Elephas maximus indicus: one gene and its partner. The protein of the gene in region 1 interacts with the protein of each later gene in a pairwise test. Links are inferred from orthologs where the notes say so. Each region holds a gene or a part of one and is shown on either strand. Other genes may lie near its edges.

The links.
Region 2: the proteins of ATXN1 (region 1) and HPCAL1 interact in binary tests that used the Homo sapiens proteins (3 or more experiments, as listed by UniProt). The link is inferred for Elephas maximus indicus from reciprocal best matches to the Homo sapiens genes ATXN1 and HPCAL1.

The regions. Positions count from the first base shown.
Region 1 is NC_064819.1:62,016,180-62,024,011, forward strand, and holds the start of ATXN1 (ataxin-1), read right to left. Parts: upstream 3,051-7,832; 5' UTR 2,856-3,050; intron 1-2,855. UniProt on the Homo sapiens protein: Chromatin-binding factor that repress Notch signaling in the absence of Notch intracellular domain by acting as a CBF1 corepressor. Binds to the HEY promoter and might assist, along with NCOR2, RBPJ-mediated repression. Binds RNA in vitro.
Region 2 is NC_064830.1:19,874,149-19,881,710, reverse strand, and holds the start of HPCAL1 (hippocalcin-like protein 1), read right to left. Parts: upstream 3,052-7,562; 5' UTR 2,767-3,051; intron 1-2,766. UniProt on the Homo sapiens protein: May be involved in the calcium-dependent regulation of rhodopsin phosphorylation.

The DNA of each region.
Region 1 (7,832 bases):
TACTTGTTGATCTGTTAACAATAAACCCCAGTAGGACTGTCAGGCTCCTTTCATTGTCTGGGGTGATACATTTACATACTGCACCCGGTAAGAACAGATTCTTGGTCTCTCTTACAAAAGTTGAGTAACTAGAAACCTAATTTAGTGTCTCCCGTCCAAATTACTGAAAGAAGATGCAGTTGAACTAGTGAAGTCTCTTGTCTGGCTTGGGCAGCACAAACACTGTGCATAAAACACTTGGAGTAGTCCAGGCACAAGACAAACCCACCTGAATGGACGAGGAACACTGTCTGTTGCCATGGCAGCCTGATCTAATTACATGACTGATCAGGGCTGGCCTAAGTGCAGGAAAACCTACACCACTGACATGTATCTACATGATGAGAAAGACAGGCAGTCAGGAGGTTCAGGGGAGCCCTTCGACCTCTGCTTTAAGTGGAAGAGACTGGCATCCAAGGCCCTTCACTTCCGGAGCTGCTGAAACACTGACCGACGCATGCACACTTCCAGGGCAATCAGCGATGAAGCGGCACAGCATTCGCCGTCCTGGCGCAATCCCTTTCCGAGAGTTCATATGCAGGATTTCTCCTCCTTCTCTCTGGTAGTTTTCTCGGGTATAAACTTCATTCCCAAGAAGCACAAGTACCAAACTACCTTTACCCATCAAATAAACCAGAGGGTGGGATTAGCAGGGGCTTCTAGGAACTGCAGGTCTCCTCGGAAACCCAAATAGAAAAGGCTTAGCTCACCTTTGTGAAAAAAGTTAACTAGCATGACTAAAAATAACCATCAAGTAACTACCCACTGCTGTGTGCAACATGTTAACGATGATGTTTCAATATTAAGAACAGCCTGCATTACAAAACATGAATGTCATTGAGATGTGACTACTAGATTGCCGAAGGAGAACCTATTTGCATACACACATTCCCCTGCATGCACGACCGGATTTGCAAGGAATTGCCACTCTAAGGCATTAGTTTTTATTCTGTGGGTGTAATAGGGTCTTCTAATTTTGCTAATTGTATCCTGTGGATCTCACAAGGAAGCTAAGAATCTCTTCGGGGACAGAACCAGTTTGGAGGAGTCCCTACTGCACAGCATACGGTAAACAAAATAAAAATAGCTTGCCGTTCTTGTTAGCCACCTCGCGCATTATATAACCAGCTTCCGACTGGCTTTTTCCCCCCTTGCCATTACTACTCTTCAGCAATTCTCCAATCTTCCAAAGTATTTATATTACCCTCTTATCTGTAGGATTATATACCAAGAAAGCAAAACAAAACAGAGCAGCCACGGGTATGCACGAACCCCACCGTCCTTAGAAATTGTGATTTTTTTTTGTTTTCTGGCACAATCTCGATCACTACCCTACGCCCACCCCCCACTGAGGTTCTTGCTTAATCTCCCTAAAAAACCTGAATTGTTTCAACGCTTCCAGTCAGCCCCCTACGTGGTCTGAAATAAAATGAAAGCACAAGCCACGGAGTTTAGGAAGGCGGCCTGGGGGTGGGAGGGGGAGGGGGGCTGAGGAGGGGTCTGGGCGCTGTAGAGTCAGCCAAGTGGCCACCGAGGGCCCCCACCCCATGGCGACGTCCCTCCTTCCCCTCGGCGAGCGCGCGCATACACACACGCACACACTCACAACCCGCTCCGACACCGCCTCACCTCTCTCTCCGCCCGGCCGGCCCCTTCCCTGCCCTCTGCGGGACCCGCCTGCGCGCAGCACTGGAACCACGTAGGAGGCGGCGGCCGCCGCGGGAATGGCAGAGTCTCTGGCCCGGCCCGGCCTAGAGTGAACGAGCAGCGGGGCTCCGGGGCGCATCCCAAACGCCGCAGCACCTCCTCCTCCGCCTCCTCCTCCCCCTTCTCCTCCTCCCGGCTTCATTCACCCGCCCGGCAGCCGTGCAGCCGTTCACTCCCCGCGTAGGGCAGCGCCTGCCGGGGCTCCTCCGCTCCTGCCGCGGGCGCTGGCGGGGGCGCCGGCGGGCCCCAGGGTGCTCACGGGCTCCCGGCTCCAGGCAGCAGCGGCGGCTGCACATGATCAGGAAGCAGTGGCACTAACAGGGCGGCGGCAGCCAGGGCCGCCACCGCCAGCCGCACTCCCGGCACCCGCACAACCGCTCCCCGCCCGGTCCCTGCGGCCACCTCTCCGCGCCCCCCGTGCGCCCCCTCCCTGCGCCCGGACGTGCGCAAAGTCCTGATCCGGCTGCCAGCGCGGCCGCAGCCGAAAAACCGGCAAGGCCGGCCTCCGCCAGGAGACCCCAGCCCCGGAGAGCGGAGGCCAGACGGCCACCCGCGGGGAAGCCCAGTCCTCCCCGAGACCCACTCGCTCTCGCAGCCCCTTGCGGGGACGACGAGTGGGGAGGGGGCCGCGCGACCCCCCAGCGGCTACTGTCTCCCCCTGCGCCACCCCGAGGGAGGACATGGCTCTCTGCACTCGCGGCGGGACCAGCAGCCGCCGGTGCGGGGCGCCACCGCTGTCCCTACCCGCGCCCCCCGCCCGGGCGCGCCCCCTCGCCCGGCGGGCGCTCACCCTTCCCACCCGGGCCCGGCTGCCCTACTGCTGGCTCTTCACTGCGCCGAGAGTGGGGGTGTCGGCCCCCGGGAGGCTGGAGCCGGGAAAGGTTGTATGTACACGCACAACACAACACGACGCGTCGGTTTCCTTTGCTCCTCTTCCAGCTGTTCGCCGTGCCGCCGTTTGGGGTTTGGGGTTTGTTTGCTGGTTGTTGCTTTTGCCCACCTCGGGAGAGCGGGGCGGGAGGGGGGAGGATTTTAATCTAAATCAGGGGAGGAGATGGGGGAGGGGGGAGAGAAAGAATCAGAGGAGGAAAAAAAAAATAGCCACTTACTGTAAAGTGTAAAAGAATCTGGGGTTGCGTGGGGAAGGGGGGGCAGAGGGAGAGAAACAATGTCTTGAGGCTGCTGGTGCTCGGGCTGCTGCTCCACGGGGCTTGTTTTGGATCCCCCTGCAGTGAAACAGGTCCTGTACGGCTCCGCCACTGTAGTAGAAATGATGTCTGCGGTATACTCTGTTCTCTCCTCCTCCTCCTCCCGCTCCCCTCCCCTCCCTCCTCCCTCCTCTCGCCCGCCCGCCCTCCCTCCTCGCTCGCTCGCTCGCTCCAGTATGTAAATGTGTAATAGAAGCCAAATATGGAGCAGTTGGCTGCCGCCGCCGCAGCTCAAGGATCCTACTTCACGGGGGGAGGGGGGCGGGCACCCTTTGGCAGGCGGCCCGGAGAGCCGCACGGATCCCGGCGCGCGGACGGCGCGGCGACCCGCCCGCTCCCTTAACCCTTCGGTGCGCGCCCGCCCGGGGACCGCCGACCCCGGGTAGGCGGGCTCGCTTCCGCCGCGGGACCGGCCGCCACTTCCCATCCCGAAAGTGCGGCTGGCGCGGGAGGGCGACGCGCGGGCCGGAGGAGACGGTTCCTTCCAGGTTTGAGAAAGGGGCGAAGAGCTGAGGCGATGAGGTCATTTTAGCGGTGACCGGTCGGGCCTCGCGCGACTCCCCAGGTCCCAGCACCTAATTGGAGGGGAGAGAGCGACAGCGGGGTGCAACTCAGGCACCGTGGGGTACCCTCCGAGGGGTGTCAGGCTTCGGCTCGGCGATAACGAGATACCCAAGGGGGAGGGGAGGTTGGCCAGTTCTAATCCCGACGTGCCCTTCGTCCCGGGCACTAAGAGAAGGAAGCATCTAGGAGCGCGGACTGTGATAATCCTCCAGCTGGTTTAGCTTCGGCGTTCCGGAACCCAGACGCTGGGGCCGCGGGGACTGCCTTTGCCTGCAACTCGGGAAAGTTTGCAGGGTCTCCCCGAATGCACATGCACCCTCACCTTCACTGGCTGGGAAAGCTGGTGACCTCCCTGCGCTTCTTTCTCTTTCTGCGGGTCCGGAAATCTGCTTCGGATATTCAACTCCTCAGCTCTAGTCTTGATAGACGACCCGCACACTCCGCTCGCAGCTAATTCGGGATCATTAATTTAATCGGAAATGAGGTAACCAGTGTTGGAGATAGAGAAAGCAAACCGAGCATCAAATGGCAGCTCCCTTGAATCCACGCTGTAGTACTTCCTCTGGACTCAATTTTGAAGTGCGGTTCTCAGCTTCCCACTACCCGGTCCCCTCCGCATGTACCCCCTTCCAGGTGTTAGCTCGATGGGAAGGACTCTTCTTTGGAGCGGTGCACCTTGCCAACAGGTGTGGCACCTGGAGGAAGAGAAGGCACATCCTGCTCGAGAAGCTCAGTGCTGCGTTCTCCTCGCTGCATAGAATTCTGGAAGACCAGTAGGTGTCGAGCCAGCATTTGACCTCCTTCAGGTGCTTAGAACGAGTGTCTAGACACACGATGCCTCCACGTCAGTTTCTCTATGGAAGCCACCACTGTCGTGGCTGTATTTGATACAGTAAGCCGTATTGGAGAGGCCTTTTGGCTGGGTTTACTTATGACCTAACGGTTAGTCACCAACTGAAGCAGGATACAGAATTACCAGGAGAAATGTGTCAGCTTTTAAATAACAGTATTGTAGAGCCTATGTGCTTCAGAAATAAAAATAAGTATACTAAATAGGAAGGTGTCGAGCCCCGGAAATAATTTTTTTTCTCACATTTTGAAACTCTAAAAACATCTACATGGCTATTTAAATAGAGCTACTACTACTGTTCACTTTTACTCATTTCTACAACTTTCTTTTCCTTTTTTTTTTTTTTTTTTTCATTTAAAAATCAATGATGGCTACGGTTTAAACCTCGGGTTGGCTTAAAGTGACATAGTCGGTCTCATTACAGCCTCTAGTGGACAGTTAAAATCAGTTTCCTGCAAAAGCTCTCCTTGGTTTTGTTTTCACTGACAAGCTTCCTCAAGGTGAAGGCTAATATCACAGAACATAACCAGGTAATATCTTTTCCCATACTTGGCAAAGCCGACTTCTGAACCAAGCAGGGGCTTGCTGGCCTTGCACCAAGAAGACGTATGCCTTGTGCTGCAGGTATTATTATTATTGCTGGCCTGTGAATAAACAGAGAGCTTCTGTGATTCATTTCAGTTTCAGACAGCTTTCATAAAAACTAAATTCATCTAAAATATTTTTATAACAGAAAATATTGGTTGCCATGTTTTTGGCTTAACTGAGATGTTTTTATTCCAAGTCATACTCTGCAGACTGTCCAATCCACCTCCACTCTGTTTTTAGACATCTTACATTTAGAGAATTTGCAGTTAAAAAAAAAAAAAGCTAATATTTTCATTATTACATTGACATAAGCAGTTAGTTTCTGTTACGTTAACAGCTTTAAACAAATTAAAACATATAATTCAGATCAGAGCTAGTCAATGAATTTAAATGTTCCCCCAAGGAAGCTAAATATGTATATTACCCAAGCAGTAAAAACAATAAGAAATGTGTCATTTACTTTCTTAGCCATTAAGAGTAAAGCCATAAACTGTGACTAAAATCTGTAACTATTTCTTTAATGTCCAAAGTATACTCATCATACAGTTTTATTACCTTTCCTACTGAAATGTTTTCAGATGGTAAAAATATTAAAATATGTACCATTGCAAATCACAAAAGACAAAACAAAACCTGTTGCCGTGGAGTGGATTCTGACTCCTAGTGACTCTACAGGACAGGGTAGAACTGCCCCACGGGGTTTCCAAGGAACGCCTGGTGAATTCGAACTGCCAACTTTTTGGTTAGCAGCTGTAGCTCTTAACCACTAGGCCATCAGAGTTTCTGTCACATATAATAGGCTTATGCAAATAAAACCTCTTAGGAGCTGAATGAAAGAAGAGCAGGGTTTTCAAGAAGCCAGTAGGCAAATAGATAGTACTAGAGTTCACTATGGAAGTCCTGGTGGTCTAGTGGTTAACAGCTATGGCTGCAAATCAAAAGGTCAGCAGTTTGAACCCATCAGCTGCTCCTTGGTAAATCCTACAGGGCAGCTCTACCCCACCCTACAGGATTGCTATGAGTAGGAGTCAACTCAAAGGCAACGGTTTCATTTTTTTTTTTAAAATAAGCCTAGTCATAAACGTGAGATTATCTTGGTAGGAGCTAAGTCAACCTTTGAAATGAAAAGAAACAGAAATAAGGCCTGCTGAGCCTAACTGTGGAGCCCTGGTGGCACAGTGGTTAAGAGATCCGCTGCCAACCCAAAGGTTGGCAGTTCAAATCCACCAACCACTCCTTGGAAACCCTATGGGACAATTCTATTTTGTCTTATAGGGTCGCTATGAGTCGAGATCGACTCCAAGGCAACGGTTTGAGCCTAACTGCCTAAACTGTGTTCCAGAATGCGTAAATACCATGAACAAATAAATTCCTCAGATCTATTTCACTGCTTTGATAACATCACTTTTGACAGTTTAAAAAGGGCTATCAGGTGTATATTATATATATGGCCATCATTAATATCCTTGCTTCTTAAAATGTGGTCCCAGGAGCAGCAACAGCAGCATCTGGGAGCTTTATAGACATTCAGAATGGAGGGTTCCACCCAGACCTACTGAATCAAAAATCTGCATTTTAATAAGATCCCTGGGGAGGGTTCCTAAGCACTTTATACTGTGAGGAACACTGGTCTGTACTACAGGGCTAAGACAGGATGAATTTGGCTAAAGGTGCAGATCTTAATTCTTCTATATATTCCTTTTGTATTCCCTCCCCCTTTTATTAATTCGTGCATTTTACTTTAAAAATTATTACATGGTATGCTTTGGACAAAACATTTCAGAAGAGCCCTGATTTATGCACAAATCCGTATCATCATTGCCGAAACAGAGCACTCTGTTAAGGAATGTACTGAGGTCTCCAACGTGAACGTTTTCTTTGTGGCAGCAAGAGGGAGCACAAGAGTGGTTAACAGAACAAGTGTACGTCCTCCCAGTCACGGCAGTTTTTAATTGTAGTGTATGTTTTTATTGGGAGTAGCTTGCTATGTAGTTAAAAACAAAGCAAAACATGCAAACAAAAACGGCTTACCAGATTATAACAATATCATAATTGAACAGATTGGTGGGGTCTCTTCAGGTTTAACGGGATATAGACATTCTTATTTAGAGTTTTAGGCTTCAATTTTTAAAAGAAAGTGGATTTCAAAAGTCGTGCTGGTAATAGGGAACCCAAGATTGAGAAGGGAGAGTGTTGACACTCGTAGAGTTGTTAATGTCATAAAACAATATGTGTACTGTTTAATACGAAGCTAGTTTGTTCTGTAAACCTTCATCTAAAGTACAATCAAAAAATAAATTAAAAGAAAAAAAGTCATACTCTCAAAGCCACTTCTTAGGGTTTCCCTGGTCAAAAATAAAGATAACGCAGTGGCAACTCCAAGAGGAAATCCTGCTTATCTAAAAACGTTGGAGTAACTAGTTAACCCAACCCTACAGCATATAAATTAATTTCGTGTGGAGTCAGACATAATTGTTTAACGTATGTGTACTTTTCACAAAGTTTACTTTCACAATAACTTGAGGGGTTTATCCCTAATTAAGGCTTTCGGTGGTGAGGATTTATACTTCCATGGTATCTATGTAGCATGTCATATTCTTCACAGTCCTTTCATAGGGCATCCTCAAAAACTCCCAGGAGATAGATAGGATAGATGGTAAAGCCTCAGAAAAGTTGTTGAAATAGCTGATGCTTTCATAACATTCTGTTGTTTCAGTGTTACAATAATCTGCTGAGGCATTCAGAAATAAGGGAAATCTTAGAGGTTAAAGATCCAGCAGCATACTTTTCACAGTTTTAGAAGTTTTTCAAAGTTACTATATAGAGAATTAGGAGCCAGGGTGATGCAGTGGTTAAGAGCTCAGGCTGCTAACCAA
Region 2 (7,562 bases), on another chromosome or scaffold:
CCCCAAGGGAGTACTGTGCCTTCACCGGGATGAAAGCTCCCAATCTGCCCCAGGTGGAAATGGAGTTAGGTGAATATAAGCCCCTGGGGAGGGGAGTGTGCACCCAAGTCCGCTCCTTGTCCTTCAGGAGCTTGTGTTTCTAATTCTGCACAGCCCTGTGGCCAGAAACGAGGATGGAGATAAATTTTGAAGGATTTGTCCAAGTTATTTCATTTCTCTTAGAATATGTCTCTAGGAGATCTTATTGGAAATGAATAGGTCCTTGGCTAGAATTTGGGCAAATCTCTGTTATTCTGGAATTTCGACTTATTCTTATGCCTCCACAGGTCAAATGACTCCCCAGGCATTCGATTCTCAATACCAGGTCTCCCAAATTGTTATTTCACGTTGACATTGATTTTTCCACCTGATGAAAGAATAAAAATGAAACCCAAAGGGAGCAGGCCAGGCTAGAACGTGGCACCACGTCCACCACAAGCGACAGCCCAAGCCTGTGGACCTTCCCTGTGGTGCATTATTCAATAAAACCTCAAGAGCTCAGTAATTACAGGCGCTTGCAAAAGTGAAACAGAAATAGATCGAGGACCAAAACACTGGTTTGCTTGAGACAAAGGATTGGTTTTATCAAGAAAAAGAAAAAAAGAAAGCTATTGGTTCTGTCTCTGAGCTGTGAAAGCCAGACCGATTTTTTGTAAATATGATTATTGAATCTGATTATGGGGACGAGAGTAGGGTTCAGATCAAAAGCCCTTTTCTCCTCTAGGATATAAAATTATTTTATGAGACAGAAAATAGGTTGCATTCTAGGTGTGCCTCCAACACCAAATTAGGATGAAAAATTAGCTTATTAAATCCACATAGCCTGCTCTCACTGCTGCGCTCTCAGCACCTCTATTCTCGATGAAGACAAACCAAAGGCACCGAACCAGAGGTTTCTGCGTGTTTGTCATAAAGCCTGCATAGCATTCCAGCTTCCCTGCAAACCCTAACTGGAGGGGCACTGGATACTTGGGAAATGTATCTGATACCCCAGCGCAGCCAAGCGGTTGACTCCTTCCTCAGAACACACCATGCCAGTGCTCCATTTTGAGAGCCTGGCACACAGATGAGGTCTGCTGCTCCCTTGGTTAAATGCTATTTGTTTTTTCAGACTGGGAAGGGTCCTGAATGGGAGAAGCCATGGAAATGAAGGAAAGGAATCACTGACTCCCTTCTGGCAGGAGGCAACAGAGGACAGCGCCCCTATCAGCTGCCTTCCTGGGTATGAGGGAACCTGGAGGTGGAATGGCAAGACTCTGGCTTGAGTTAACGTTGTAAGAGCTTGGTGCACATTCACTGCAGTTCAATTTTACCAGTAGCAGGTTTCAAAACTAAAGATGTAGGAATTTATATTTTAAAAACCAAGGTATGGGTCTAGGAGGCAGGGTCCCTCCCATCCAGCGTCTGGCGTCATGGGTAAGGTTGCAGGTTGTCCAACGCTGAGCCCAAGGCGGGACTCGCCATTCTGGCAAACGCCCTCCTCTAGGTGGAATCTGATGTTAGCTGGGAAGAAAGGGGGGTGGCATTCCGCATGACCAGGCCCGGGTTGGGAAGCACCGCCAGCCTGAGCTCCGTCTCTGCGGGGAGCGCCACTTTCACACCGTGGCTCTCAGGTTCCACGAGTTGCACACCCTGGGGACTAGCCACTTGTTGAACAAAAGGGCTACCGACTCCAGCAGCTGCCGCTGTCTTCCAGCCAGGAGAGGGACCCTAGCTCGTGCGCAGGAGCCTTTAGGGCTGGAGACGAGCCAGCGCTCGGCGCTGCGCGCTCCTGTAGACCCGCAGGGTGCGCCCGCCGGGGAGATGCGGCTAGGAGGCAGCGCACCCAGCAGCCTAAACTTTCTCGAATCTCTGTGCTTTGCGGTTAAGCTAGAGCCGTGAGAGATGCAAGAAACACAGCCAGAAAGGGAGAAAAAAAAAAGTAAGAGCCCCACCCACGATAAATGAGAGAGAAAGAGAGCTAATTCAATTAACATAGCACCTACTAAGTGCCAGGCACTGGGCCGAGAGCTACCGTTAGGGCGCTCTCTTTTAACTATCACGACAGCCCCCGAGGGAGGGAATGCCCTCATTTTAAAGAGCAGCAAACTGCGACTCAGGAAGGTGGCGTATCTGGCCCAGGTCGCAGTGCAGGTCACGGCGAGGTCAGGGTTCTAATCTGAGAGGAAATCGCCGCCCCACCGCCCCCACCTTTGGCCAGAGCGCACAGGCGGCCCACGTGTGCCGGGCGGACCTGCCGCCTGCGAGGCTAACCCGGGCTTCCCGCCGGGCCAGCGCTTCCCTCCTCTGCGACGCGGCTCTCCCCTGGGCTCCTGCGCTCCGCACTGCGCCGGCCGGCAGAGACCACAGAGCCCCTTGCGCGGGTCCAGGTCGCCCACGCCTACCCTGCCATTCCTCGCCCCGCGCACAGCTGCTCACACACGACCCCCGCCCGGCACCCACGAGCAACTGCGCCCTCACACACAATTCCACAAACGCAGCCGAAAATGTGCACACCCAGTTGCTCACACGGATCCCCACGAGGGCACGCCATTCCAGAAATACACCACCCGTCCGCGGTCATACACAACTGCACCCGCGCAGGGAAACAAGGCACCCCCCAACACACACATACACACACACACACACACGCACACACGCAGAGTCACGATTACAGACACACGCGGGCGCACACCGATCCACGCACCCGCAGTCCCCGCAGCCCCCCGCAGCCTGTCCCTCTCCTACCGAGTCCGACGCAGGACGCAGTCCGCGGCTTCCCAAGCCCAAGTTGCGGCGCGAGCAGCGGCTGGGGTGGACGCGGGCCGCTGCGCGGGGACAAGCGTGCCGAAGCCGGGAGGGGTGGCTAGGGGTGCGAGGCTCCGTGCTCCGGCAGCCGCCGCGCCGGCCCTGCGCTCATCGCCGCCCAGAAGGACAAAAGGAAGCCGGGCAGCGAGGGGAGGAAGCGAGGTGCCCGCGGGTCCGTCGCCTGCTGCCGCTGCTGCCGCCTGCCAGCCCCGGGAAGGAAGGGACGGGAAGGCGGGGGCCGGGGGCGGGGGCCGGGGGCGGGGCGCACGGCCGGGGGCGGGCGGTGAAGTTTCCAGCCGACTCGGCCACGCCCCTCTGCCGCCGCTCCGGCCACGCCCCCTCCCTAGCCCCGCCCCCTGCTGGACCTTGCCGTCCCATCTTCCATCCTTACCACCCTGTCCCGCGCTCCTCAGCCCCCTCACCACCCAGCCGAGGTCCTGCCCGGGTCCCCCTCCCTAGTGGATACGAGAATGGGACGGGGCAGGGGCGGAGCAGTGCACCGGTTCCGCCTCCCTAACCCTTCGCCTCTGGCCTACGAGTGTGGGAGAGGCCGAGAGGCGGTGCCCCAGACCGGACGGCCTTGCCCCGCGCCCCCGCCTTCTAGTCCTCTGCAGGAAGTGTGGCCCGGGTGGCCTAGGAAGGGGAAGAGGCGGGAGTCGCCCAAGCCACGGGGACCGCCTGCCAGGTCCCTCTTCTATTCTTCCCCACCCCGGTCCCGTGTGCTGATACCACCCAACTTTCCTGAGCCTCATTCTGGCAAAGATCCTGGGGCTGGGAAGAGGGAGACCTGGGTTCCAGCTATTGTTGCCTTTGGTAACTCCTTGTGCCATTTTTGCAAGTGCCTTGGACTCCCTCAGCCTTGGTTTCCCCACCTGTAAAGTGGACGGGGAGGACAGGCAGGCTTTCTGGGGTCCTTTCCTCACTGCCATTCAGTGGTTCTTCAGTTTCCCTGCCGGGAAAAGGACTTCCTTAGTTGGGCATCTTATTCCTGGGGACGGCTGGCCTCGTGAGCCTCCGGGAGGGGCGGCCTGGTTTCTCCTGCAGACTTCGCTCATCCCCTTGTCTATGGAACCCGCATGACAAGGCAGGACTGTGCTTCCCGGGATCCCTTACTGGAGCAGCTCCTGAAAATCTAGGGCTTAGAAGAGCACATATATACGCACCCCAGCACTACCACCATCGTCACCGCCGCGCGCCCCAAACATTACCAAAGAAAGGTAACCACAGAAACAGCCGTAAATGTGGAAATGGGCCTTCGTGTGAGGCTGAGACGAAACTGTCTTTCTGTGTCTCTAGGGTAAAACTCAAATCCTCCCCCACAAAAAACACTGTGAGTGAGCTCCCACTACACAGGAGGCTTGTGGAGGGAAAATGGGCAGAGCAGCTTTGACAAGGGACCTGACTGGAGGCTTCCAGTGAGGGTCAGGGCCTGAGCCCAGTCCCCCTCTCTCCTTTCTCTCTGTAAGCAGAATGGCAAAGCTAAATCTAGACGGAGGGAGTCTCCTAGTCAGGACTGCTAGGAGAATTGACTGAAATAATGACTGTAGGATGTGTTAGTACCGGGCTGTGGTGGTGTTATAAAGAGCCAGCTCCAGTACCTGGGGGCGCTGACTCCTTCCTTCTAAGCAGAGTCCAGTAGCCAAGGTCATTCCGTGGGCTTTCTGTAGCCTATCCATGCAAGCCCTCAGTCAGACCCCCAGACCCAGCCCCATCAGCCAGGTGACTGCAAGCAGAGGCTGCCGAGGCATTGTCTTAGTCAGGGTAGGCTATGCTGTGCTGTGGTAACACATAAGATCCCAGTTCTCACTCAGGTTACAATTCAGGTTGGAAGGGGCGGAGAGGACTCCACAGTCTCTCAGGAACCCAAGCATCTTCCATCTAATGCTTGCACCACATTTCTTCAGGGCCTCTGAGGCCTCCATTGGTTCTTCTCCTGGCCTGGTAACAAGAGCAGAGACGGCACGAGCACAGTCTGAGAGTGCTGTTCAGGAGCCAGCCCTGGGGGTGGCATACATCACTTCCACCTACATTCATTAACCAGCATTAGCTACGTGCTCCCAGCTGTATACAAAAGAAACAGAGTCTTCCTGTGTGTCCAGGAGAAAAAACAACGTCAGTTTCGTGAACACATAGCAATATCTCTGCTACAGAAACGGAGCCCACTTCTGCCAAGCCCAGTCTCAGGGGCAGCAGATATTCACACAGAGCGTGATAATCGCTATAATCAAGGCTTGGGTTACAACCACCAGGAAGGCTCGTAGTGGAGAGGGTCAGGAAAGCCTTCACAGAGGAGGCGACAGTTTAGCTGGACCTTGAAAGGTAAGTAGAAGTTCACCAGGCAGCATAGGAGGGGAAGGGCATGTTGACACAGGATTGAGGATGAAAAAGTTCAGAGAAAGCTTGAAAGCAGACTGTGGCATGTGCCCAAAACCCAACTTGCTTGTACCTCTGGGCCTTTGCCTGTGCTGGTCCTCCACCTAGCATGGCTCCGGCTCACATGTACCTCTGTCTTCTCTGAACTTCTAGAGAAGCACAGATAATCTAGACCTTCGTCCAGCACTGTATCCCATCTCTGTCAGATGAAGTACAAACTGATCTCTTTCTGTCTGTGTCCACTGCTCCTGCAGGACAAGGACTATATATACCCCTTAGGAGCTGCTAAGAGCCCTGGTGGTGCGGAGGTGAAAGTGCTTGGCTGCCCACCAAAAGGTTGGCAGTTTGAAGCCACCAGCCACTCTGTGGGAGAAAGATGTGGCAGCCTGCTTCCATAAAGATTTAGAGCTTGGGAAACCCTATGGGTCAGTTCTACTCTGTCCTATAGGGTCCCTAGGAGTCAGAATTGACTCCACAGCAGTAGTTTTGATGGGCTGCTAACCACAAGGTCAGAGGTTTGAACCCCAGCGGCTCTGCAGGAAAAAAGACCTGGTAATCTTCTCGCATAAACATTTCAGCCTGGGGAACCGTATGGGGCAGATCTACTCTGTCCAGTAGGGTCACTGTGAGTCAGAATTGACTCAACAGCGCACAACTACAACAACATATGAAGCTTAGTGGAGTGCATACAGTAGTGCTCACTAAATAATTTTTGAATTTAATAAACTAAGACAAATAAGAAACCTAAGTCAGGGGAGGGTGTCATGATACACATACAGTTTGTCCTCCACACTATGGCTGTCAGCACTAAGGGCAAACTCTGACTTCTTAATAATGACAGCATCTGACTATCTCCAACATTCTTGAGGTTATGTCCCCATTTCATGGATGAGAAAACCTTTTTAAAAAAACAAAGCCAAACCCATTGCTGTCGAGTTGACTCCGACTGATAGTGACCCTACAGGACAGTGTAGAACTGCCCCCATAGAGCTTTCAAGGAGCACCTGGTGGATTCGAACTGCCAACCTTTTGGTTAGCAGCCATAGCACTTAACCACTACACCACCAGGGTTTCCGGAAAACCCTTACAGAAGTGAGATATCCAAGGGCACAAAGTAGAATCAGTGATGTAAAAAAAAAGAAAAAAAAAAGTTGCTGTTGCGCCTACTGTGCCTCATAGCGACCTCATATGTGTCAGAGTAGAACTGCGCTCCATAAGGTTTTCAACGGACAATATCTCAGAGGTAGATGACTGGATATTTTTTCCTAGGTGCCTCTGGGTGGACTCAAACCTCCAACCTTTTTATCAGTTAGCATCCGAGCATGTCAACCATTTGCATGTTAACCCAGGGACTCCAGAAGCAGTGACCAACCAAACCAACCCCACCGCTGTCAAGTTGATTCCAACTCATAGCAACCCTATAGGGCAGAGTAGAACTGCCCCATAGAGTTTCCAAGGAGCGCCTGGTAGATTCAAATTGCTGACCTCTTGGTTAGCAGCCATGACACTTAACCACTACGCCACCAGGGTTTTCTGAATCAGTGACAGGCAGGTCTAAAGCCAGACTCAGTATGTGCTGGGTCCACACAGGCCCTGGAAGAAATACAATTAAAAAAAAAATTATTTGTAGCACTTGGATGTACTTGATTCCAAGTATCCTACTAGGGAGATGCTTTCAAATACATGTGCCCCTAGCTCACACGCTCCTGCTCCGAATGTTTGAGGAAGTGGGGGCCAGCTCGTTTCCATATCCTCCTTTGATTCTGTTACACTGGTTTTTGTTTTTTGTTATGACAGGGTGGAGAAACGTGGCTGCCAGGAATAAAATGGCGATGCTTACTTAGGCTAGTGGCTGCACCTAGGACCACCTGCCCTTCCCCTGACCTCAGAGCCCAGGCCCTGGAAGCTCCCACGCAGAGGAAATGGCCAGAGAACTCCCTGGCAGTGTCAAGAAACCAAAGAGGTGCCTGGATATTCAAAGGGGAAGGGGAGAGATTTACTGCCATCTGTCAGCCAGCAGAATCACTGGATCCTGCCTGGTGTTGGTAGATAGGCCAGAGGCAGGGAAATTGGATCATTAGGTCATCTTGCTTATGCTCCTCAGTGTTTGTGACTGCCGGTGTTCGTGACTGCGGCTGATACAGATACTGCAGCCCCATGGCTGGCCCAGGGAGCCTGCCTCAGAGGCGGGATCTGATGGCACCTCTCTCTCTCCTTCCCTTCCCTCCTGCTTGCAAGCTCCAGGGGTTAAAGATTAACTAGAACGCCCCCTATCCTGGGGCAACTGCCTTATATGTGTATGTTTTTCTTTTTCCCATCCACTGTCTGCCCTGCTGCCCCTCTGTAATCTCAAGGCTGGGGTC